3 linked regions of the Oreochromis niloticus genome follow. The protein of the gene in region 3 binds, or shares a complex with, the protein of the main gene of each other region. Links are inferred from orthologs where the notes say so. Each region holds a gene or a part of one and is shown on either strand. Other genes may lie near its edges.

The links.
Region 1: the proteins of ube2g2 (region 3) and aup1 are in contact, whole or in part, in a crystal structure (PDB 7LEW), measured with the Homo sapiens proteins. The link is inferred for Oreochromis niloticus from reciprocal best matches to the Homo sapiens genes UBE2G2 and AUP1. Residues at the interface, in NP_003334.2 of Homo sapiens: Tyr13, Thr17, Pro20, Gly23, Ile24, Val25, Ala26, Gly27, Pro28, Met29, Asn30, Glu31, Glu38, Leu40, Met42, Glu45, Glu50, Phe51, Val53, Pro55, Lys156, Val159, Gln160, Ser162, Leu163, Leu165; in NP_853553.1 of Homo sapiens: Ser379, Arg382, Gln383, Leu386, Arg389, Lys390, Leu393, Tyr394, Tyr396, Ala397, Arg398, Arg400, Phe401, Thr402.
Region 2: the proteins of ube2g2 (region 3) and E3 ubiquitin-protein ligase AMFR are in contact, whole or in part, in an NMR structure (PDB 2LXP), measured with the Homo sapiens proteins. The link is inferred for Oreochromis niloticus from reciprocal best matches to the Homo sapiens genes UBE2G2 and AMFR. Residues at the interface, in NP_003334.2 of Homo sapiens: Tyr13, Leu16, Thr17, Pro20, Gly23, Ile24, Val25, Ala26, Gly27, Pro28, Met29, Asn30, Glu31, Glu38, Leu40, Met42, Glu45, Glu50, Phe51, Val53, Val159, Gln160, Leu163, Gly164, Leu165; in NP_001135.3 of Homo sapiens: Ser574, Ala575, Arg578, Gln579, Met581, Leu582, Arg585, Lys586, Leu589, Leu590, Ala593, Arg594, Arg596, Phe597, Leu598, Lys600.

The regions. Positions count from the first base shown.
Region 1 is NC_031966.2:32,624,945-32,632,715, reverse strand, and holds the start of aup1 (lipid droplet-regulating VLDL assembly factor AUP1), read right to left. Parts: upstream 3,038-7,771; 5' UTR 2,738-3,037; coding exon 2,697-2,737; intron 120-2,696; coding exon 1-119. Other genes in the region: ctsf (cathepsin F), read left to right, coding at 4,059-4,307, 4,916-5,026, 5,464-5,545, 6,348-6,409, 6,546-6,618. UniProt on the Homo sapiens protein: Plays a role in the translocation of terminally misfolded proteins from the endoplasmic reticulum lumen to the cytoplasm and their degradation by the proteasome. Plays a role in lipid droplet formation. Induces lipid droplet clustering.
Region 2 is NC_031965.2:27,579,434-27,587,534, forward strand, and holds the start of E3 ubiquitin-protein ligase AMFR, read right to left. Parts: upstream 3,034-8,101; 5' UTR 3,003-3,033; coding exon 2,748-3,002; intron 2,658-2,747; coding exon 2,565-2,657; intron 2,468-2,564; coding exon 2,303-2,467; intron 1-2,302. Other genes in the region: si:dkey-148a17.6 (leukotriene B4 receptor 1), read left to right, coding at 3,043-3,106; endochitinase A1, read right to left, coding at 6,417-7,658. UniProt on the Homo sapiens protein: E3 ubiquitin-protein ligase that mediates the polyubiquitination of lysine and cysteine residues on target proteins, such as CD3D, CYP3A4, CFTR, INSIG1, SOAT2/ACAT2 and APOB for proteasomal degradation.
Region 3 is NC_031987.2:899,241-906,718, reverse strand, and holds the start of ube2g2 (ubiquitin-conjugating enzyme E2 G2), read right to left. Parts: upstream 3,044-7,478; 5' UTR 2,913-3,043; coding exon 2,870-2,912; intron 2,645-2,869; exon of another isoform or gene 2,626-2,644; intron 1,659-2,625; coding exon 1,623-1,658; intron 1,494-1,622; coding exon 1,448-1,493; intron 1-1,447. Other genes in the region: olfactory receptor 10J5-like, read right to left, coding at 4,329-5,291. UniProt on the Homo sapiens protein: Accepts ubiquitin from the E1 complex and catalyzes its covalent attachment to other proteins. In vitro catalyzes 'Lys-48'-linked polyubiquitination. Involved in endoplasmic reticulum-associated degradation (ERAD).

The sequences.
Region 1 (7,771 bases), on a different chromosome or scaffold from region 3:
GAAGTGCACAGCTGACCAGAAACACATGAACACCGATAAAAATACGTATGAACATTAAAGAAATGCCGACTGGAAAGTAAATCAGCAACAGCAGAAGAACGACAGCATCTTTGGGAAACCTGCACAAAAACAGAGCAGAATCAAAAAAATGACATTTGGAATAGAAAACACAAAAGAAAAACAAATCTAAATGTAAATTTATAGTTGAGAGAATTTAAGTGATTTCCAAGGGATCTGTAGCAAGACTGCTTTATCCTGTGCTGATTATATTTCAAATGAACCAACACATTTTTACCCCTTTTTTATTTCCCAATTCCAACATATAGACCTCACCATCAGCCTCAAAAATACCATTCTGTGATTTGAATGACAGCATGTGTCACAACCTACTGATCTTCTTCCTTTTATTACTGGATAAATGTGCACTGAGCCATAGCATGAACTCACATCAGAGTTTAACCATTTCACTCTATAGTTATTCAACTATGCAATATTACCCAATGATACAATACTGTGAAAAAGAGCCATCCATAATTTGTTTATGTTTTGATACGAAATGGTTACAGGTGCAGGTATTTATTGCAACATGTTCAAACACACACTGAAATCAAATATATAAAGCAAAAACAGATTTTGTACAATTCCAAGCTTTCCTATTGTTCTCCAATCTTCTAGGAAGACATTCAAAGCTCTTCTCTCTGTCAAGACGATCAACCACTTCTAGAATAATGTTGAGGTCCGGGGTCTGTGGAGTCAAATTCATGCTTGATGGTGTTCCAATTTGTGCTTTTCTATTTAGGTATGTTTTTACTGTGTTTTGCATGTGGCTGCAGACACTCACTGTTGTAATTCTTTCCTGTTCATACTGAAAAGGAGTTGAACCAAAAACGTGGATTCATCACTCCATCAGGCCACTGACCTCCACTGATCTTGTGTAATTTTCATACTTCATCCTTTTCTCCTCTTTTCCCTTCCTTAAGAAGGGCTTCTTGACAGCGACCCTTCCACTGAGACCATTTCCAGTGAGTCGTCAGTGAACAGTAGCTGGATTAACTAAAGGGGCAGATGTATCTCTAAGGTCCTGTCAGGTCTATGGCAGATTTTTTTCCTGTTTCTTGAGGACATGACTTTCAGACACTTGCTGTAGATAATTATTTTAAGCCTGCCACTTCATCTGTCCTCCTCTTGTCCAGTTTCCTCACATTTTCATACGAGCAGATCTCGGCATGAAAATTTGAGGAGAATCACCTTTTTCTAGCAAACATATTATTCGATGTCTGCCAAACTGTTATTTCTGGCATTTTTCACAGATTCAACTAAAGAAATGGGAACATTTTATATATTTTTCTTTTATAGACTGCAAGTAAAAAAAGCGCCTAAAGATACAATGTAAAATTGCTTGTTTTTGTTACCAAGTTTTCTGTTATGTAAAGATAACAGATAACATCATCCCTTGCATTAGGTGCTTTTTGTTGTTTGGATCAACTGCAGGGCCAGATGCATCTTTCAGGTCCTGTGTCAGGACATGACTTTTACTGGCTCATCTGCTGTTGATAATTTTTAAAGCACTGCCAATTCTTTTGTCCTCCCCTTATCCAGTTTCCAAAAATCAAATTAACTTGACACTGCACACTATACTGCAATATGCCAAATTTTCAGCTAATAGCACTATGGGAATCACCTTGTTGTGACAAAAGTATTATATTACGTCTGTCAAACTTTTATCTTTATGTTTTTGTGACAGACTGCTGATAACACAGTAATTTAACATTGGTTATTTGCCAAGCTGTCTGCTATGTGTAGACACAACACTGTTTTCATGCCTGAATGAAACATAGATTCAGTGTTAAGTGGTCCGTTACAAGGACTGGACTGAAAATGAGTGAAAAGGCAGCAAGTGTCTAAAGAATAACGTTGAAAGACCTTCAGAAATCCTGGAGAACCGATGCTCAAGACCACAAAAAATACAATCAAGTCTGACGATATGAAAGGTGGCTCGAGGCACAGTACTGTCCATAAGTTATTAAAACCAATTGCAGAGTTAGCGCTGCTTTTGTTTCAGCGTTTTTACCAATATTACACGTGTCACTACTCGATTCCCTCTGCACTCAAGCGCTAGAGAACATTTCGAAACCTCATTATAAACGCTCTAGTCGTCATTAACACTGTATCTACAGGCCTCATGTCCGCCCTCTATTCAAGTCAAAAACACTTAAGTATTTAAGTACACAACGACAACTACTTTTGCTGTCAGTTATTTTCTCCACTTTACACGCGCCCAAATATAATCTCTGACTTTTGTGTCAAGATCAAAGAACTTAAGTATCTTATAAAACTTGACTCTTGGTTGTCACAAGGCAAGCAGTGAATACATGAAACCAACAGAAATCTAAGATTAGCTAGTTCACGCATTTCATGCTGCAACTGATCGGCGTGCTTATTAAAATTAGCACTGGACAAGGTTTCATGTCAAACGCTATCCATGACTTGTTTAGTATACCGTTGCCAATATCGGCTAGCTAGCTGCATGTTTTCCAGATTATTTAATACATCTTCTACTATACTGGTTAGCTGCCTGATAATAAACGTCGTCAACGACATAACCTCTGTGTATTTCTTCAACGCTTATTGCGCTAATTAGCGCTAAGTGAAGGTTAACCGAGCACTTTACATTACTTAGCAGTTAGCTGACTTACCGACGAAAGTCAAACATGTCTTCAATCCCCCGAGTCTCCATGTCTGCCAGTCAGACCTTCAGAGGCTAATGCTAAAAATACAACCTGACCCCTAAATATAAATTAGTCATTACTTTCACGACTGCGCCTCTGTCATGCGGTGGGTAAACTGGAAACTGGGTCGCTAGTTAGATTATAGTACAGCCTTTTCAGACCGCTTAAGTGCACGACTTTAAAATGTTAGCTTTGTGGTTAAACAGCGCTAGCACAGCTAACGAGAAAACGGCTTCAGTCGGCACGACACCACTTCCGGTCCGTTGCTAGAATCCCCTAGAATAAAAGCGCCATCTCTACAAAAGTACATTTATATAAATAATACTCGTTTCTAAATTCTACAGAAGAGTATAAACTGCGATTCTTTGTACCCAACCCAACCCTTCAATTACTTTCATGATTTCATGTAATCTATAACTGTGTGTTCATCTTTATCGGAGTGTCAGGTGCAATACTTTCAAAATAAAAGAGCAGCAGAAAAAAAATAAAGAAGCACTAAAGACGTCCCCTAAAGGAAACGCTAGTAAAATATTATAGTATTTTGTCTACCTCTAGTGGCGAAATCTGATAAATTTTAATGTGTTACATTAGTATGTAATGTTACCATTTTATTTTAATGAATCTATTTATTTATTCCAATAATGAGCTGAACGTCTTTAGTCGCCCCTCTTTTCTTTTTAGTGTGTTTATAGTCTGCAGTTTAGGGGGGGGAAAGTGTAGCCATTTATTGAAACATGTGCAAACATATGTGTAAATACAGAATATAAGGCAAAACCAGAGTTTGTACAACTCTAAAGAGCTTGAAACACCACTGGCTGAAATGCAGCACCAAACGGTGACAGAACCTCCACTAATAGCTGTTTGGTTCTTTGCTAAGTTGTCTGTGAAGTGCAGGCACCACCCTGTTTCATCTCTTGAATGCTCGAATGATTCATAGGTCAGTGCCCGGTGCCTTAACACACAAACAAACAAACAGAAAACAGTATAATCTGAAAATGGTCAGGGACAACGACTGGACTGAAGTGAGCGAATATCAGCCAAATGTCCAAACAACAGCTTCAGAAAGCACTGAAAGACAACTGCTGCCCTACAGACCTATCAGCGACAGTCCTGCCTGAATAATAAATATGGGAATTATCATGAACACGCCCTCCTTTAAAGCTCAGTCTCCGCCTACAGCCTGTCAGATGTGTTTGGCAATAGCCTCTTGTATAATCGCTGCTTAACTGACAATCGATTTTTGTGTGAAGAAAACAAACACGGCTGTTATTTAAGTGAGCGCAGACTAGACATCGGCCCTTTCAGTCGGTGACAACACACGGGGCCAACATGGTGGTCATATTGCGCTGTTGCCCGCTAATCCGGTGGCTGTCCCTGGCCGTTGTGCTGGGCTCGGTTCTCGGACTCGGTGAGGACCTCGACCGGCCTCTCTTCGGGCCCCCCGGCTCTTCTATCTGGGTCCACGACTCCGACCCGGGTCTTAAGAAGGCTCTGGCCTTTGCAGAGGAGCGATACAACCGGGTCTCCAATGCGATGCATCTCCGCAGAGTCAGCCGGGTCATCTCTGCCACCAAACAGGTATAATTATTATTGGTGGCTTTCCTTCTGATTTTATAATATTTATTCAACATATTTTGGTCTTCTAGTGTACTTGCAAAGAACGGTTAAAGAATTTGTTATTTATCGATTTATGTCATTGTAATAAGCGTTGTGTATGCTCGTTTTTTGTAAACAACAGCGTTGCTGGAGGGTCGTCATTTTAGCTAAACACAGGCCAGAAAAAGGGGTGATGTACCTTCAAAATAATAGCGTAAACGTCTTTGTTGCGCTGCTCAGCAAGGGATGCCTAAACAAAGACAAACAAAAATGTATTCCTATTTATCTACAATTTTCAAGAGGTTTCAACTTAGAAAAAACAGTATTTATTTATTTATTTTACCTATTTTTATTCTCAAGCGTTCAAGATAAGATTTTATGCGCGTTTACTGCAGCCGGAAGTTATGTCTTTGACTTTAAATTAACAACGTCTATGCAGTGTGGCCTGTTTGGAGCATAACGAGCATCCATATAACAATAACACGCATTATATTTTATACCACGTCTAAATAAAAATATTTATTTATCCCAAGATTTTGTGTCCTTAAATTAAAGATGACTGAATGTTTGTGTGTTCATCTGTATTCCAGCTGGTTAAAGGGATCCGTTACACTTTAACAGTGGAGCTGAGTAACACTCAATGTAAGAAGTCCACCATGCTCAGGACATGTGACTTCTATCCCGAGTTAAATCAACTCAAGGTAGGGTGTGTGTGTGTGTGTGTGTGAGAGAGAGAGGGAGAGAGAGAGAGAGAGAGAGATAGCTCTTGTGATAAAAATTAAGCAGCAGAGAGAATGTGTAATATGAGTTTATATTTAAGAATAAAAAAGCTGTGTGTGTGTGTGTGTGTGTGTGTGTATCCAGCTGTGTATTGATTTTTTATTGCGTCAAAGCAGTTTTGCTAGTTTTGATCTTGTGACTCAACTTTGACTTGGAGTGATCCTAATCTCACTTATGCCTCATTCACGCTTGCATTCATTTACAGTATTGACTCTTTTTTTTTCTTTGTTCCTGTTTTCTTCCCAACTAAAAATATCTAAGTTATAAGTAAGTCTATAAATGGGGCTTTTTACAAGAGACCTAAACCTACAAATAATAACTGTTATAGCTTTTCCTCTAAATTTTTTTTATGTCTCAGACAGAGGTCTGCATCTTTGAGGTGTGGGACATCCCTTGGCAGGGGGCGTCAACCTTGCTCAAACAGAAGTGCCAGCCCAAAGGTCAGTCAGCAGCCAAACAGACTGATCATCCAACATTTAAGATTCAGAACCACCCATTATGGCTGTCATATGGTAGACATTTATAGCTGAACACCATAGTTGTGGCTCACTTGGTCTTCCCTTACAGTGGTGTGAAAAAATACACTGATTATCTTATCATCCAAAAACACAACAACAAGTATTTTTTAGCCCTTTTTTTTACCCCCCCCCCAAAAAAACCACTAAAAGAGTTCAGCATTTCTGTTCTATCATAATAACTTATTCAAGATATTTCTGACCACAGTACCCATGATGTGATATGTGATATTGTGGCAGGCCTAGCACATATAGAGAAAAATCCTTTTAAAATTCATTTATTTCTACTGATTGTCACTGAACAGCCGGTCAGGCCATGAGATCTTTTTTTACACGCTTGTTTTACAAAGAGATAAATGAGGTGGAAGGTTGAACAAAGACATGTTCGAATGTTAACCCCTTTTTCATGCGTAACAAAGAACAAAATCAACAGTAAACATTTGCCTAAGGCTCTTCTTTGTTGTTGTGATTTAGACCTATAAGAAGGCTTTCATGAGCAATAACAAATCATACTGACGCTACATATTTGCATTTGAAAACACTGGAGGCAGTGATTTTATGTTGTTTTTTGTATTTTTGTCGTTTCTTTCTGTCATATTTATGAGCCTGAAAATTGTCTGTGAAAACTGTGAATTGCAGCAACCTGCATGACAGTTTGACTGACTGATTTAACTGTTAAATACTCTCACACTTCCCATGTCTTCCTGTGTTTCATTTCTCTTATCAGTTGAATCTGAAGTAGAAGAGAGCAACAAGGTAGAGGATCCATCCACCAGCCAGCCTCTGGAGGTAAAATTATGTCAGGCTCTACAGCTACAGGCCTGTGGTTTTATCTGCCTCTGCTTGTTTTTTTAAACTGTTCTAATCAATTTAGATTTGAGATCGAGGCTTTCTGTTGTTGATTCTGTGTGTGTGTTTGCATTAGGAGTCGGTAGAGCTGCTGGGCCAGTTTAAAGAGTTCATGACTAAGTACAATAAAGTCTACAGCAGTCAGGAGGGTGAGTGACTGAATCTCATTCATACCACATACTACGTATGGACACTGTGTCACATTCCTGTCTGAACACACTGAACACTTTACGTAATCAAAGCCTGTTTGGATTCACACCTGAATGCAAATGTTCAAACTGAGAAAATCAGACTCTTTTAAGGAAAATATGAGCTTATTTTGAATTTGATGGAAGCAATTCATCTCAAAAAACTCAGGCCATGTTCACTTCTATGTAGGTTCCCCTCTTCCTTTAACAGCAGGTAATAAATGCACTGAACTGAGGCGAGCAGCTGCTGGACTTTGGAGAGATGAATGTTGTGTCATTCTTGTCTGATAGAGGATTTTAGCTGCTCAGCAGTTCTGGGTCTCTACATGATGGGCTCTATGTGAAAGGTCTGGACTGCAGGCAGGACAGTTCAGCACCCGGACTTTTCTACCACAAAGCAATACATGAAGTATGTGGTTTAGTATCTTGCTGAAATACGGAAGGCCTTCCCTGAGATAGACATCATCTGGGAGGGAGCATGTGTCGCTCTGAGCATGTGTCGCTCTGAGCATGTGTCGCTCTGTATATACCTTTCAGCACCTTTCCAGACGTGAAAGCTGCCAGTTCCATCAGTGCTAATACACCCCTGTATTGTCAGAGCTGCAGGTTTTTGAACATGTTTTCATCATGTTCACATTCTTTTTTTCATGATAGTGCAGTGCTGCCTCAGGACTAAAAATCACAGGCATCCAATGCTGATTTTTGGTCTTGTCCTTTGTGCTCAGAGATTTCTCCAGATTCTTGAAATCTGTTGATATCCTGTCCTGTAGATCATCAGATATTCACAGTCTTCACATTTTTATGTCGGGGAACATTATTCTGAAATTTTTCCACGAGTTGTAGATGTAGTTTTTTGCCGATTGGTGAACCTCCGCCTCTCTAAGATGCTCTTTTTGTACCCAGTCATGTTACCCACCTGTTCTTAGTTAATCCAATTACTTGTAACTTGCAGAATGTATCGCCAACTGTTTTCTTTTAGTACCAATTACTTTTCCAGTCTTTCTTTTTTTTACTCTGTCCCATCTTTCTTGACACATATTGGTGCCATCAAATTCAAAGTGAAATAGTTAAATGTCTCAGCTTAAACATCTGATATGTTTAAATAATATGGCTT
Region 2 (8,101 bases), on a different chromosome or scaffold from region 3:
TTCTTAATTCTTTCTTCTCATGTCCTAAGATTTCTTTTCAGTGTTTATGCAGGTTAAAGATCATTTCCTCAGGATGGCCTTTAAATCCCACCGTGATACTTTTTTGTGAAACTTTGTTACCAAAAAGACCCAGCTATAAATTAATTTAGTGGACATCAGTAGACAAAGGAAGTATAACAATTATTTGTCAAACAGTGGAAAATTTCACTTAGATGCTCATGAAACATGCTGTTGAAAGAGAGTTCATGTTTTTCGCCACTGGCTACAGACAAGAGTTTTAAGAGGCTCAGTAACACACTCAATTTTTACTGTGACATACTGAGAGAAAACCCTACATGTACTCTCTTCTAAAGATTACACAACCCTTTTCTATCAATACAAACGCCTCTCACACAACCACTAAATATCTAAGCACTAGCACAACTAAACTTCTAGCAAAGTGTAAATAACAACAAATTTGCACATTATTATAGATTACAACTAAGGTGAAAAATATAAAAACCAGCTGCTCGGTATCACAAAGACCACAAGGTTTCCAAGCTAAACCTTCAGCACTACAACCTGCATTTCTTATCTTCACCCCAAAGCAAGAAACCACAGTGACAGGAAGACAGAAAGGGGAAACAGCTGGGCAAACAACGGACTACCTCCAACCTAAATTTACAGTTAAAGTTGAAAGACGGAAACAAAAACAGCAAGAGGAACACAATCACATCAAAATGAAATGTTTACAATATGGCAGGTTGAAATAACCTTCTAGTATACTAAGGCAGCCAGCATTACATCACGTCTAACTTTGAATGTCTAACTGACATTTAAAACAACTTAAACCTTGTTTTAAATGTCAGCACTCATAAGAAGGTATTTAAATGTGATATTTTGTTTTCCCCACCATACAGAATACACTCTGATAGAGAGATGTTAGCATAGTAACTGAAACTGTATCAGTAGTCACAGTCAACATCTGAGTATAAAAAGCTATTAATAGATCCCAAGCTGAAAAGAGTACAGTTACACTGTGTCTACTGAGGGAAAGCACACTTTTTAAATAAGCATTTATAGAAAGTGTACTGAAGTATTGCTCAGGTGGATAAATCTGGCTTAGTGTTTAATATTCAGAAACGGTTAAGTAGGAACAGAGTTAGATTTGCCAAGCTTTGCTGTGGCATAGATCTGCTGTGGCAGATTTCTATTTATTACATACATGCGTATTACATACATACTGAATTACACAATACAGAAAGCATACCCCTGTAATACATATAATAGACTGGCACCGGTACCTATGTTAAAGCGCAGAATTAATATCCAATATAGAAAAATCTAAAAAAAAAAAAAAAAAAACACCCACACAAAAAACAAAATGAGGGTAGACCAAAAAACCCTTCCAGAAGCAGGATTTCCCCCCCTTTTTTTAACTGAGTTCCTTCAAAGCACAGAAACAAAAAAATTTCCTGTAAATGTACACTTTTGCAGTTAAGCTCATGATCCATGAGCTTGCCTAACACCACACTGACCATTTCCTATGATATACTGTTTCTAACAGTATCTGATATTTCTTAAGTAACATGTGATTCCTTTCGTAACAGGCAAGAGTTCAAAGAGCTTTGCAGATATCTGGTAAAGAGCAAGTAAGGTACATCACCCATGATTACACTGGGTGATGCACTACTCTCCGATAAGCCACTGAAATGACACATGTATTTCAGAGGCTTTTAGGCTGCATATACATAATGGGAAAAAAAATCTTAAATCCTATATTTAATCCTATATCCATTAAACATATTTCTCATTTCTTTTACCCATGAAATCTACACAACTACAACGTTGTTAGCTAATGTAATTTACTCTAACTGTGATTAGATAAGCCACTGAGAAAGTCAGTAATTAAGTACATTTGCTTAATTCTTCAACCCTTGATTCTCATAAATCTAGCTGTTCTCAAGTCTGGCTTCCAACAAATATGAAAAAAGGAACACCACAATTAAGACAATACTATTATTGTGCTGCACCCCATGTAAAGATGAAAGTTGCATTTTTATCGATCCAGGGTACCCTTTTCTTTTACACTGGTTTAAGTCTCTTCTCAAGTGCCCCAAATCAATCCCCACCAGGTTACAGAAGGTTTAGTTAAGCTTGATTGAAAAAACAAACAAACTTTTGGAAACAGCTTGGCTCAAGGAGTCAAATGGCATAAAACAGAAATAACCACAGACAATAAATGCAACGTGAGTCTAGTCGTATTTGTCTAAAGTGATGATTGGATTTTGTTGTTGTTTGTTTTGTTTTTTTAAATACTTACATATTCAAAGCGATCCTTGCAGAGCTGAACCATTAGGTGGAGAAAAACGAGTGCGGAGAACCACAGACACCACATGACCACCTCCTCCACTGTCTGGACGTTCAGTACACCAAAAATGAAGATGAACTTGTAGAAAATGAAGTTCCAGAATTTATCTTTCAGGTGCTGATGAACCAAAAAAAAAGGAGACAGGAAATGAGATGAGTGACCATTTGCTTCTTGTTTGAAAGAAGTAAAAACAGCTGTAACAACACAGACTTACCTGCTTCTCACTGACTCTGAGTGGGCCAAACACCACGTACTGAATCATTTTAGCAATTAACATCAACGAGCAGCAGAATGTGTTCACTAACACCTGTAGGTATGCAGATAATAAAGTCACCATTAGTTTTTGTATGAACTTCATAATCACCATCACGTCACACAATGCACTAAAATCACTCACCCACACAAAGAGACTGTCTGTGACAAGATACCACAGGACAGTTGTTGCCAGTTCTGTATTACTAATATCATTCTTTAGAAGTTCACGCTCCACCTCGGAGGGAGGCTGTGCCTCATCCGTTTCCAAGGCCCCAAATCCCGGGTCAGTTACTGTGGTGTAGGCACTGAAGATGCTACCAGCAAGCAAAGCCACACTCAGTGCTGTGTAGGTCTGCAGGCTGGGCCAAGGAAACCTCTCCAAAAACAGCAGAGGCATTGCAATCGCAAGCTACGAGTCCACTTCTCAGCTTGTTAAAATGGTGTCAGTCCAGCAACCTGTGAAGGCAGTAGGGACGTTAGCCCAACTTTACGGGACAAAGAGTAAATATTACGCAAATAGAGCAAAGACAGCATGTGATGGCAGCCATTTCGGCTACGCACGAATTTTAAGCTTTAACAACTGGGACACACAGACAGCAAATGTATCTTTCTAATTTTTAAAAAGTTAGTCCCCCCCAAAACATCTACGTTTACTAAACATTTTGGCTAACCTACACTCAGCCGCCAAGCAGTGCTAACTTCCCTTTAGCAAAAATTACTACCGTGTTTAACTTTAAGTGGAATAATTAAATTAGTCAAAGCAAGTAAAGATGGCTTATCATCATCAACGAGCAACACCTTTACGGAACAAACGGGAGTTCACTCCCATAACATTAGTTACTTATCTGGCTAATGTTACCTAACACTTAGCCTAGTGGTTAGCTAATGCTAGCCACCGTTAACAACCATCAAACGCTAGACTTGTATTAAATGGTCACTTACAGTTTGTCACAGATTTAAATAAACACAATATCCGGCTTCCCCTGTTGCAGTCAGTGCTGAACTTTTAGTCCTGTGGCACTGGGAACACGATACTTGACAACATCGTCATGTTTATTTCACCGAGCAGACAGCTGGCTGAAAGCTGAAGGAAGGCTTTCCGTCTGCGCAGCTGCGTAACAGCGCCATCACGACAACTTTATAATCACGGTCATTACAAAATAAATATTTTCATTCAGCAGTTTAATTTAACTAATAACTCGTTGCCCCGTGATTACAAAAGAAAATGTTTTTATATGTGTTGATTTAATTTTTTGATTATATTGTGGAAAACTAAATCAGTGAGTAAGCTGTGGGAGTTTCCGGAACACGCAAGAATGGACGCTCTTTCTTGGGATTGGGTGTATTTTTGGTGCAAACAACAAAAATAGAAACGACTTCACCTCTAGGCTCGTGTTTATAGTACAATTATTTTTAAATTTAAAACCATTTTGTTGTGCTTTCAAACTGCTTTTAGTGCGTACACGCTAAGACACTTTATTGCACTGCATTGTTTACACATTTCACGTTATACTAATCCCCTTAATATCATGTCATGTTTTTCTTCTTTTTCTTCTCTGTTTTCTTTCTTAAAAATATATTTAGTATGAAATTTTCAAATATTTTAGTAGTTATTTGAAAGTTAAATGTATACTTATTGTTAGTAATTGGACTTCAGATTCGTTTTACCGCATTAAGACATTTGTTTTATCATATTTTATTCGACTTAACTGTATACCTTTCTTTATATTTAATCTATTTGTTGTATGTTTGTTTTGTTTAACAAAAAAATCAAAATTGAAGATAAATTAAGCATTTATCTTACATTTTCTGCGTTGTGTATATCAAAACACTAACCTCACATTAATCTTGCATTTTTCAAGGTGTTTTGTGCAATATCGTTAATGTCCACAAAGAAAAAATATTCAACTATATTTAGTATAGTTTTCATTGAAATTGCGGCACTGAAGCTATATGCTTAGATCTGTTTTGTTGTTCTTTCATAAGATGATTACTTTTTCGGGAATTTCATTTGGCATATGTAAAGTAAATTCGTTAAAAATAGATTTATAATAAAAAAGAGATTTCTTTTAGTTGTACAATTAAAGGAAAACATTTACACCTAAAGTATTTGAATTTATTTGTTACGATAAAAGAAAATAGTTTCTCTGACTTTGGGTGGTGCTTACAATACCACCCAAAGTCCACTGGAGGTCACTCTTTCTTAACTGAATTATCTGCATGATCAACTCGGTCACCTATAACATCTCCAAGTTTCTGGCTTCGATCCTCAACCCGCTGGTGGGCAGCTCTGAACACCACATCCAGAACACCCTGGATTTTGTTGAGAAGGTGAGAGATGTCATTATGGAGGCAGATGAAACCATGGTCTCGTACGACGTTACATCTCTCTTCACTTGCATCCCAGTCACGGAAGCGTTGGAGGTAGTCCGTAAGAGATTACAGGATGACACCAACCTCAGCAACAGAACCACTCTCAGCATCGACCAAGTGTGTTTGCTTTTGGAACTGTGTCTTCATTCCACCTACTTCACATACAAGGGTCAGTTCTACAGGCAGAAACATGGGTGTGCCATGGGCTCCCCAGTTTCACCCATCGTGGCCAATTTGTACATGGAAGAAGTGGAAAAGAGGGCGTTGCTATCCTACCCTGGAACACCACCAAGCCATTGGTTCAGATATGTGGATGACACCTGGGTGAAAATCAAATCTCAGGACGTACTACATTTCACGGATCACATTAACTCGGTGGACCAACACATCAAATTCACCAGGGAGGATATGAAAAGTGGCAGGTTAGCCTTCTTAGACTGTGAGATTTCCATCAGTAATGGGGGACATCTAAAAGCTGACGTGTACCGTAAACCTACGCATACGGATCAGTATCTAAGGTTTGACTCTCATCATCCACTGGAGCACAAACTGGGTGTCATCAGGATGCTACAACACAGAGCGAACACCATCCCCACTGACACAGCGGCCAGGGAGGCAGAAGAACAGCACATTAAGAAGGCCCTGAGTAAATGTGGTTATCCCAGCTGGACTTTTGTCAAAGCTGGGAAGACACCTAAAGAAAGCTCCAGCCGATCCAGGAGAGAAGGACAACCGCTGCCCAGGCGAAAACCTGTAGTGATCCCATATGTGTCAGGAGTATCGGAACAGTTGAGACGCATTTTTTCTAAACACCGCGTCTCTGTGGCTTTTAAACCCCAAAATACGCTGCGCCAAAAACTGGTCCACCCCAAGGATCGGGTCCCCCGACACAAACAGAGTAACATAGTGTAGGGGAGAGCGGGGTAAGTTGTCACACTTTTCACACTGACTAACTTTTACTGAGCACCATACATCACAACGTAATAAATGTTTCACCAAATGAAAGAAGGAAGTCTCGGGCACATATGATGTATTCATTACATTTTCATATCTTATCTCATTACGGAGTTGTAGACTGTTGAATGGAGAATGTGCACTTGTGACAATTTGCCCCATCGGCAGGTAAGTTGTCACACTAGATTATCTTAAAATAAGAACACAAATACTTAATTGTGATTATTGATTTTAATTAGTAAATTCAAACCAAAACTGGAAATTTGAACAATTATGCCAAGAGAATTTGGAAAAAAAACAATTATTTCAATCCAATACACATTTTAATCAAAACATTAAGTAGAAAGAAAACTTTAGTTTGAACTTTAAACTCAAATGTTCTCTGGCTTGCACATAAATCCATCATAACTGAATGGAATGCTGCAAATAACTTGCTTTACTTAACATGTTTATCCTCTGAACAAAACAGATGCCCTATTTCTGATTAATCAGACTCAACTTCAGAGTCACAATTCTGGCACACATAAATTGCCTGGCCTGAGGTGCAAGCATCATGGGCCCATTTGTTGCATTTTACGCATTTTACCCAGGTCTCTTTTGGACGACTGTTTGAAAATGGCTCCACACAGACAAGGCAGAAGCACTCTTCATCATCTGATGATGACTCTTGAATTATTTTTCTTCTTTTAGCTGCGTTGTTCTTCATAGGTCCAGATGTTTTCCCCCCTCGCGTCCCTCTCTTTTGAAACAGCTTTTTGCTAGATTCAGCCTTATTCTTTTCTTTTTCTAGTTGCTGCTTCACTGGCGTGTCAGTTAGAATTGCTGATTTGCGTCGTTTTCTTCCTTTGCTGGATGGTTTTCGGCGGCCAGCTTTTGGATATGGCCGGATGTCCTCTGGAGTTGGTAGTCCGCTGTCAGTAATTGCAGTGCTGGGTAAGGGTGAGCTCGTGATAGAGATGGTGCTGGAGCTTGGCAGTTCAGAGTTGGTGCTGGGGCCTAGCAGTGCAGAGTTGGTGCTGGGGCCTGGCAGTGCAGAGGTAGTGCTGGGGCCTAGCAGTGCAGAGTTAGTGCTGGGGCCTGGCAGTGCAGAGGTAGTGCTGGGGCCTAGCAGTGCAGAGTTAGTGCTGGGGCCTGGCAGTGCAGAGGTAGTGCTGGGGCCTGGCAGGTCAGAGGTGGTGCTGGGGCCTGGCAGTGCAGTGTTGGTGCTGGGGCCTGGCAGTGCAGAGGTAGTGCTGGGGCCTGGCAGGTCAGAGTTGGTGCTGGGGCCTGGCAGGGCAGGGTCCGGAATAGGGCGATCTGTGACGTAGGATGGTGCAAACTTGGCTTCCAGAAATACATTTCTGTTGTAAGGTTGAATCCCAGCCACCCTAAAACCAGCCTGAATGTTCAATGGGGTTGCAGCCAGAGGATATGCAATTACCACAATCCCAGGAATGTCATAAATAGACATTGTCTTCCCAGGGTTGTTCCTCATCCAGGCATCACACGTGCTGTTGATGTGCCTCTTTAGTGGCCCGTAGACAGACCTGTCTAATGGTTGGAGCCGATGTGAGCAGTGGGGTGGGAATGACAGCATGATTATGCCATTTTCTTTGGCATAATTGAGTCCATCAATGGACAGATGAGACTCGTGGTTGTCCAAAAGGAGTAAACAGGGCTTCTCCTTTGAACACTTTGTATGTTCATTGAAATGTTGCAGGAAGTCAACAAAGTGTGTGTCTTTCATCCATCCAGAGGAATTTGCCCCTCCTTTGCTGCCGGGTGGCCCGTTGATCAGGAAATGGTCACGGAAGTGGACATGCGGGAAAATAAAGTATGGAGGTAAACTATTCCCTATGGCTGAGACAGCACAGGCCAGTGTGACAAGGGTTCCCCTTTGAGCAGAGGTCAATGACCCTACTTGTTTGAATCCACGTCTGGCCAACACTTTGTCTGGTTTATGTACAGTGGTGACCCCAGTTTCATCAACATTCCAAATGTCTCCTGGTCCAAACTCATATTTGCATAACACTTTCTCTAAGTTGTCAAAGAAAGCATTGACATTCTCTCTGTTGAAGCTACTTGCCCTGGCAAGGCTAGTTGCTTCTGGATTTCTCAGTGACAATGTTGTATGCCGCTTTAAAAAGCCTGTAAACCACTCTTTGCTGGCCTTTTCTTTTTCTGCCCACA
Region 3 (7,478 bases):
CACTCGACATCTTTAAAATCCGCCTGAAGACACATTTTTACTCCCCAGCGTTTAAATTTGAACACTTTTGTGTTGTCTTGTTTCCTGCTCTGTTTTCTTTCAGCCATAAATCCACTGACTTGTCTTAACTTTGTGTTACTGGGGAGTGTACTGATAGCTGTGTTTCATCTCCAACACTTTGAGAACAGCGACACCTTCTGGTCTCACTCGGTCATCGTCACACTGAACCTGTGAGTCTAGTTGCCATGGTTTACAGGTATGAGGGTGAATTCATGACTCAAACTGCAGGTTTTTACTTTCTGAGTTTGGCATAAAGTGTGAAACAGGTTAACGAAACAAATACAGAGAGGTGAGCCTGTTACAAACACTAACAGCTGCTAATAAAAGGATCAGACAACTGATCCCAGCAGACGGGAGGTTAAAGCCATGAGGGTGCAGCATCGTTCACTTTTTAAATGCAATTAGTGTGATTAGTGGATCTACGGAGATCCGTCGCTGCTTTCATGACTGAGCCTGACCTTTAAGCACCCAGCATAGAAGTGAAAGCAACTCGTTTGTGCAACAGCCAAATTAGACAAATGCTGGTGCTCACAGAAGTGCTTCAGGTGACTGTGAACGTGAGTGTTGGTCTGGGTGTTTCACAAACTGCTGATATGAAACATCAGAGTTTACAGAGAAGGTCTGAAGGACAGAAAACATCCAGTGAGCAGCAGTCCTCTCGGGGGAAATGCCTGGTTGAGGTGTGAGGACAGACTGCTTCAAGCTGATAGTAAAAGCAACAGGAACTCAAATAACCACTCATAACAACCGAGGTATGCAGAAGAGCACCCCTGAGCCTTAGAACAGATGATCTACAGCAGCAGAAGACCACACTGGTGCCACTCCCACCAGCTAAAGGACATTTTATACCTGCTACGCGCTGCCTTGCAAACAGCACCTTACAACAGAGCTAACGTCATTTCCACTGTCACTAGCTGCCACTGCTGCAGGTCTTATATCAGCGATGATGTGGAGGAATCGTCCGAGTGGCAACACCAATTGTTCAGGAGAACACTGCAGCGGCTTCCTGGGCTGTAGCAGCGAGTATAAACAGAAGCAGCTGTGTGATGACGATGCCAGCAGTGTGGGAAATGACCGCAGCCTCGCCTCTGTCAGTGCGCCCCAGGGCGGCTGTGGCTACAATGTAGCTTGCCTCCACCAGTGTGTGAATGTGTGGATGACTAAATGTGTAAAGCGCTTTGGGGTCCTTAGGGACTAAGTAAAGCGCTATACAAATACAGGCCATTTACCATGTACCATTACTCTAACCCAGTACTAGTAAACTGTACCCAATAAAGCGGCTGTGAGAGTCCAGTTACAACTGACACATACACAATAACACTCCAAAACAAATACAAACACCCAAAAATGACTCAAACGTGTGTTTCCATGGAGACGGGGTACTCACATGATAAGAGCCTCCCACTCGAAGAAGTTCTCCTCGTTCACTGGACCTGCACAGCAAACACAAACTCTTTAAATCTCCTGCTCTCAGAGCTGCTCGGGTGTCTGACTGTTAGAACAACACACTGAACATCTGAGGGCACATCTGCAGAAGCTACAGATGTGTTCTGGTGTCTCACCTGCCACGATGCCCTCAGGTGGGTTCAAAGTCAGCTCTGAAGCACAAACACAGAAAGATGAGTGACCTTTGACCTCTGCTGTGATCCGGTATCAGTCACATTTTTAAACAGCTGATGGATTGTTTGCTTTCCCATATTGAAGAAACGATTAACATTTATTCATTTAAAAACAGCCTAAGGCAAGAAAGCAGTTATAAAAGACTTCCCAATTATCTTAAATACCAATCAGGTTTACCACAATGATCTATGTCGAACTGTTTATCCATAACTGTAAATCATCAAGTTTGCACACTTATACACAACATAATACAACTGTAATTACCCCTAACCTGTAAAGTTGCAATTGTTATACATAGCTCTACATATACACCATAATATATACTCTGTATATATTATCACTGTGACAGTGTTGCAACTACTTGCACTTTAAATTCTGTTTACACCCACATAAGCTACAAGATTTACAAAGCACTGTTTGTCTGTTTTACTTTCTTTTAGTCGTGTGAAGGGAACGTACAAAGTAAAAATTTCATTGCTCTGCGTAACCATTTGTGTTTTGCGGTGTACATGACAATGAAGTTCTTGAATCTTGAATGCATCGACTAATCTGTGCAGAATTCACATTATTACACAAGATTAAAGTGTAGCAGCCTGAAATGAGCGCATTAAATAAATGACAGGCCTAAATATGAATGTGTACCGAGGCTAATCCCCCAGTTAAAGTTCTTATCGTTAGCCCTCAATGCACCAAATTACATTTAAAAACCTTCAAATTTATCACTTTCAGAAAAGGCAAATCAGCCGCCGTGTCAGTGCAGCGCTGAAGCCTCGCAGCGAGTTTTCCACCTGCGCTCTGTGTTCCTGTAATCAGCATATAAACATGATGTTCGCACTTTGTGTTCATTTATCACACTTTAGAAAAGTTTTGAAAGTTACATCACGGCAGCTACATGGAACATTCTGGATAACGCCACACACACGTTATATAAGCTCCAAATTATACCGCGGTTTAAACTGCAGGTGGACAAAGCCGACACCGGATTATTCACACTGTGCAGACATTCATCAGGTTATCGGTTTGAGTCGCAGGAGAGAAGAACAAACGCGGACAACAAAGAAAAGCTCAAACCGACCGAACTTTTAACGGAGTTTCGTACAGAGATACAGGCGCTCGCGGGTTGTTAGCTTAGCATGCTAGCTAACATTAAAAGACCTCCCATTGGCTGAAAGCGGCTCGCGTTACTCACGTTTGTACTCGGCCATTAGTCTCTTTAGCGCTGTGCCAGCCATCGTGTTTACCGGAGAAAACAACAAACAAACAAATAAACAAAAGCGGCTCAGTTTCTCACGTTCTCACAAAGCAACGGACCAACAGCTGATCCGACTGAGCATGCGCAAAACGTGTTTCAGTTTGCGTGTCAGCAGACAGCGCACCCTGTCGACAAAAATAAAAACAATTAATTTAAAAACAAATAAAAAAATAATTAATTGTTTAATAATTAAGCTCATTTGTTTAATTGTAAACTTAATTTTACTCAAGTAAATGTTTTTGTGCCTTTAATAAATGTTATATAGTCTTTTTATTCAATTTTGTCTTTATTTAATTTAATTTATGTATGTAATTGATTTCCTTACCTGGATGACTGAGCATCAAGATGTATGCATGTAATAATAAGTTACGGTCTAACTGATTGCTTTTCTGTACAGTTAGCTTTTCTGTGCCACAGCAGATGTGTTTTGTTGTTGTTGTTGAATACTCAAATACATAAATAATAAAATAAATAAATAAATTCAATTCAAGTCAACTTTATTTATACAATGCCAAATCACATCAACAGTCACCTCAGGGTGCTTTATATTGTAAGATGGACCCTACAGTAATACATACAGAGAAAAACCCAACAATCATATGACCCCCTATGAGCAAGCAATTTGGCAACAGTGGGAAGGAAAAACTCCCTTTTAACAGGAAGAAACCTCCGGCAGAACCAGGCTCAGGGAGGGGCGGGGCCATCTGGACCCACTGGTTGGGGTGAGAAAAGGAAGACAGGATAAAGACATGCTGTGGAAGAGAGCCAGAGATTAATAACAAGTGTGATTTAGTGCAGAGAGGTCTATTAACACATAGTCAGTGAAGAAGTGTCTGACAGCGAATGACTGACAGGAAATAGTACCACATGTGAAAAGTGATGATTTCCTGTTTTTCTCTTTTTACTTGTAATGACTCATTGGTCTGTGTGACCTTTGACCTAAGAGTGCAGTTTCCACTGAATAATTGATCAATAAGAATTGATAAGACTGATTAATACAACCAAACAAGAAGAATCCAGACTGTTTTTAAAATATTCAAACAGCAGTCAGAACTCAACTTTGTTACTTTATATAGTGAGAAGTTTCTGTGGCCTGAATATTGAACTGCTGGATTTTGCCCATATTATTTGCTGAGGGGACTTTTATCTGTTGTTGTTGTTGCTGTGTGCAAATGCTGCAGCTGCATACAGCTGCCACATCAGAACGTGCTGCAGTATGTTCCTCTTTATCAGGAAGTCTAGTTCAAGGCCCTCTGCTGCCTCCCCCAACAAGATGTGGATGAACTAAAGAGCATAAAATGAAAATGAATGTTGATTACAAAACAAATATTTATGACCTTTTTTCTGATTATGGGAGTGGAGTCAGAGACCAGAACTCAGGATCTGGTTCTGTGGGTTATTCAGCTCTCTGGCAGCCCAGCAGCCTCCTCAGCTGAGCCCTGATCTCCGTCACCTTTAGGCCATACACCACCGGGTTGAACACAGTCGGGATCATGACCTGGAGGATGGAGGTGAGGACAGAGGCTGTGGGCTGACTGCCAGCCTGTAGGCGGCGCTGCAGCACCTCCACCCCAGAGCTCACGCTGTAGTTACAGAAGACGAGCAGGTGCGGCAGGCACGTGCTCAGTGCTTTGCTGCTGAAGCTGCGCGAGCGCCGCAGGCAGATTGACAAGACGGCGCTGTAAGAGAAGAGCACAAAGATGGCGGGCAGCAAGACAGTAGCCACGATGACCGAGAGGTTGTAGACTTCGCTCAGCAGTGTCTCACGACCACCACAGCTCAGACTGACCAGGCTGTAGATGTCGCAGTAGATCCTGCTGAGCTGCGAGCGGCAGAGCGGCAGGCGGCTCGCCAGCAGCACCGCAGTGCCGACCAGCCCGACAGGCAGCAGCCAGCAGAGCAGCAGCAGTGCCAGCACTGTGGCTGGAGACATGACAACGGTGTAGAGCAGCGGGCGGCAGATGGACACGTACCGGTCAAAGGACATGGCTGCTAGCAGTAGGAAGCTGGAGGTGCCCGATGAATATAAAAGCCAGGCCTCACACATGCACCCACGCAGGGTCACCTGCACTGAGCGGCCCCCCCTCAGCAGGTCCACCAGGAGTTTGGGGTAAAACACCGTGCTGCCCGCCACAGAGTTCATCAGCACAGCCGCCACAAACACAAACATGGGGCGGTGGAGGCTCCGCTGGGAGCAGATCACGTAGACCACCAGGCTGTCGCTGCACAGCATGAACAGGTAGGCGCACAGGAAGAAGAAGAAGAAGAAGAGCCGCTGATTGGACAGCTGCGCCAGGCCGTCCAGGGTCACTGATGTCACCAGGATGGGCAGTGAGGTCACGTTTACCCCTGCTGACATCATCGGGGGAGACACAACAATCTGAGGGTGTCAGCTGACAGAAAGCTCTGGAACAGCTGCACACAAGTTTAAACCATCAAATCGAAAACAGAAGCAGAAAAAATATTGTTTCAATATCAGATCATCAATTTGCAATTTATCATGACATCATTAAATGATCATTTAAGGCATCAACGTTTAGGTTATAACCACTTGAATAATGTTTTAAATCAACCTTTGAATCATCAACACTTTAAATGTTCAAACTGTATAATTGTTTAAATTAATAACATTTACTCTTTTATTATTTCAATAAAATAAATGTCAGCATTTAAAGACTTAAACTAACATTTAAATCGATATTATATGTGTTTAAAATCATTCTTCACATCTTCAACACTTATGAACATATAAAAATGTTACATATTAAAACAGTTTAAACAATCAACTGAATCATTTTTAACATAATATCTTTACAATTTTATCATTTATCATCATCAGTGTCAAAAAATAAAATCATCAGCATTTAGATTATCAGTGTTCAAAACATATATCTTCTCGCAGACGATCGAGTAAAGAACTATTTAACTCAATATTTTAAGTTTTATCTTTTAAATCTTTGCTTTAAAAACAACATTTAGATGATTAACAACAAAATATCTACATTTAACTTCACATATGATTATATAATCTGTGTTTACATAATCATTTAAATAATAATTTTGGAGTTAAGCGTCAAAATTATAAATTATGAAATTTAAAGAATAAATGTTTACATCATTATTGTTTAAATAGTCACACTGATATGATGGATTTTATAAAGAACTTTTTTCAGTGTAAAACATCAATGTTCAAAACACTAATGAACAAGAATGAACGAATATAATTATCAGCTATATCACACTAACTCTTTATCCTTGATTTTCAAAACAACATTAAAGTCATTATAGTTAAAACAATATTAAATCAATAACATTTGAATGATAAAAAGTTAAACACAAAAAAGTACATCATCAAACTTCAGACATAGAAAGAGACACACATGCTCCCACACCTGGATCATGTGGGCTGTGACAGGTTTGAGCTGTATTTATGATCCTCTCGCCTCAGTGGAGCTCATTAACTCTGCCTTATCTTCATCGTCTCTATCATCCTCCTCAGCATCGAATGTTTGATATTTTTCCTTCACTGAGGCTGTAAGCATGTTTCTCTCCAAGGGTTGAATCTGGAATCATGTTAGGGATGACTGTGAATTTTCAGTGGAAAAAACATCTTAACCTAAAAAAATAAACATTTTACAGTAAATTGTCAAACAGAAAAACCGTCATCTCTGTAAGCATAGTCTTTAGGTTCTAGGTTTAAATCTGTTTAGAGGTAAAACAGAAAACCTTAAATAATATATATAAATATATAATTAATGGTTGTAGCCAAAACATCACCCATTTGTCTTTGGACTCTGTAAAGTAAGTGAGTCAACTTAAATTTTAAAGAGCTTTTCACAGGCAAGTAGTGACAAACACTGTACAACAAAACAAGTTTGGGCACAGAATAATGCAAAAACAACTGCTGTCAGCAAAAGTCTCAAAACAAGGCCTGGTTAGAATAAAACAAAAAAAACAACAACAAACACTGCTTTTTAATAGAGTTAGCTAAATGTAGGCGTAGCAGCAGACTGTTCCATAGTCTTGTTTTCTCAAACTGAAAGCCTCTGTCCTCCCCAGTCTCCAATCTTGGAGTGCGTGCACACTGAAGGACATGTCCTGGTCAAAAATGACTCCAAGGTTCCTCACAGCATTACTGGAGGCCAAGGTAATGCCATCCAGAGTAAGAATCTGCTTAGATACCATATTTCTAAGATTTTCAGGGCCGAGTACAATAACCTCAGTTTGATCTGAATTAAGAAGCAGAAAGTTAGCGGCCATCCAGGTCTTTATGTCTTTAAGACATTCCTGCAGTTTAACTAATTGGTGTGTGTTACCTGGCTTCATGGATAGATAGAGCTGGGTGTCATCTGCATAGTAGTGAAAATTTATGCTATGTCTTCTAATGATGCTGCCTAAGGGAAGCATGTATAATGTAAACAGAATTGGTCCTAGCACTGAACCCTGTGGAACTCCATAATTGACCTTAGTGTGTGAAGAGGACTCTCCATTTACATGTACAAATTGGAGTCTATTAGATAGATATGATACAAACCACTGCAGCGCA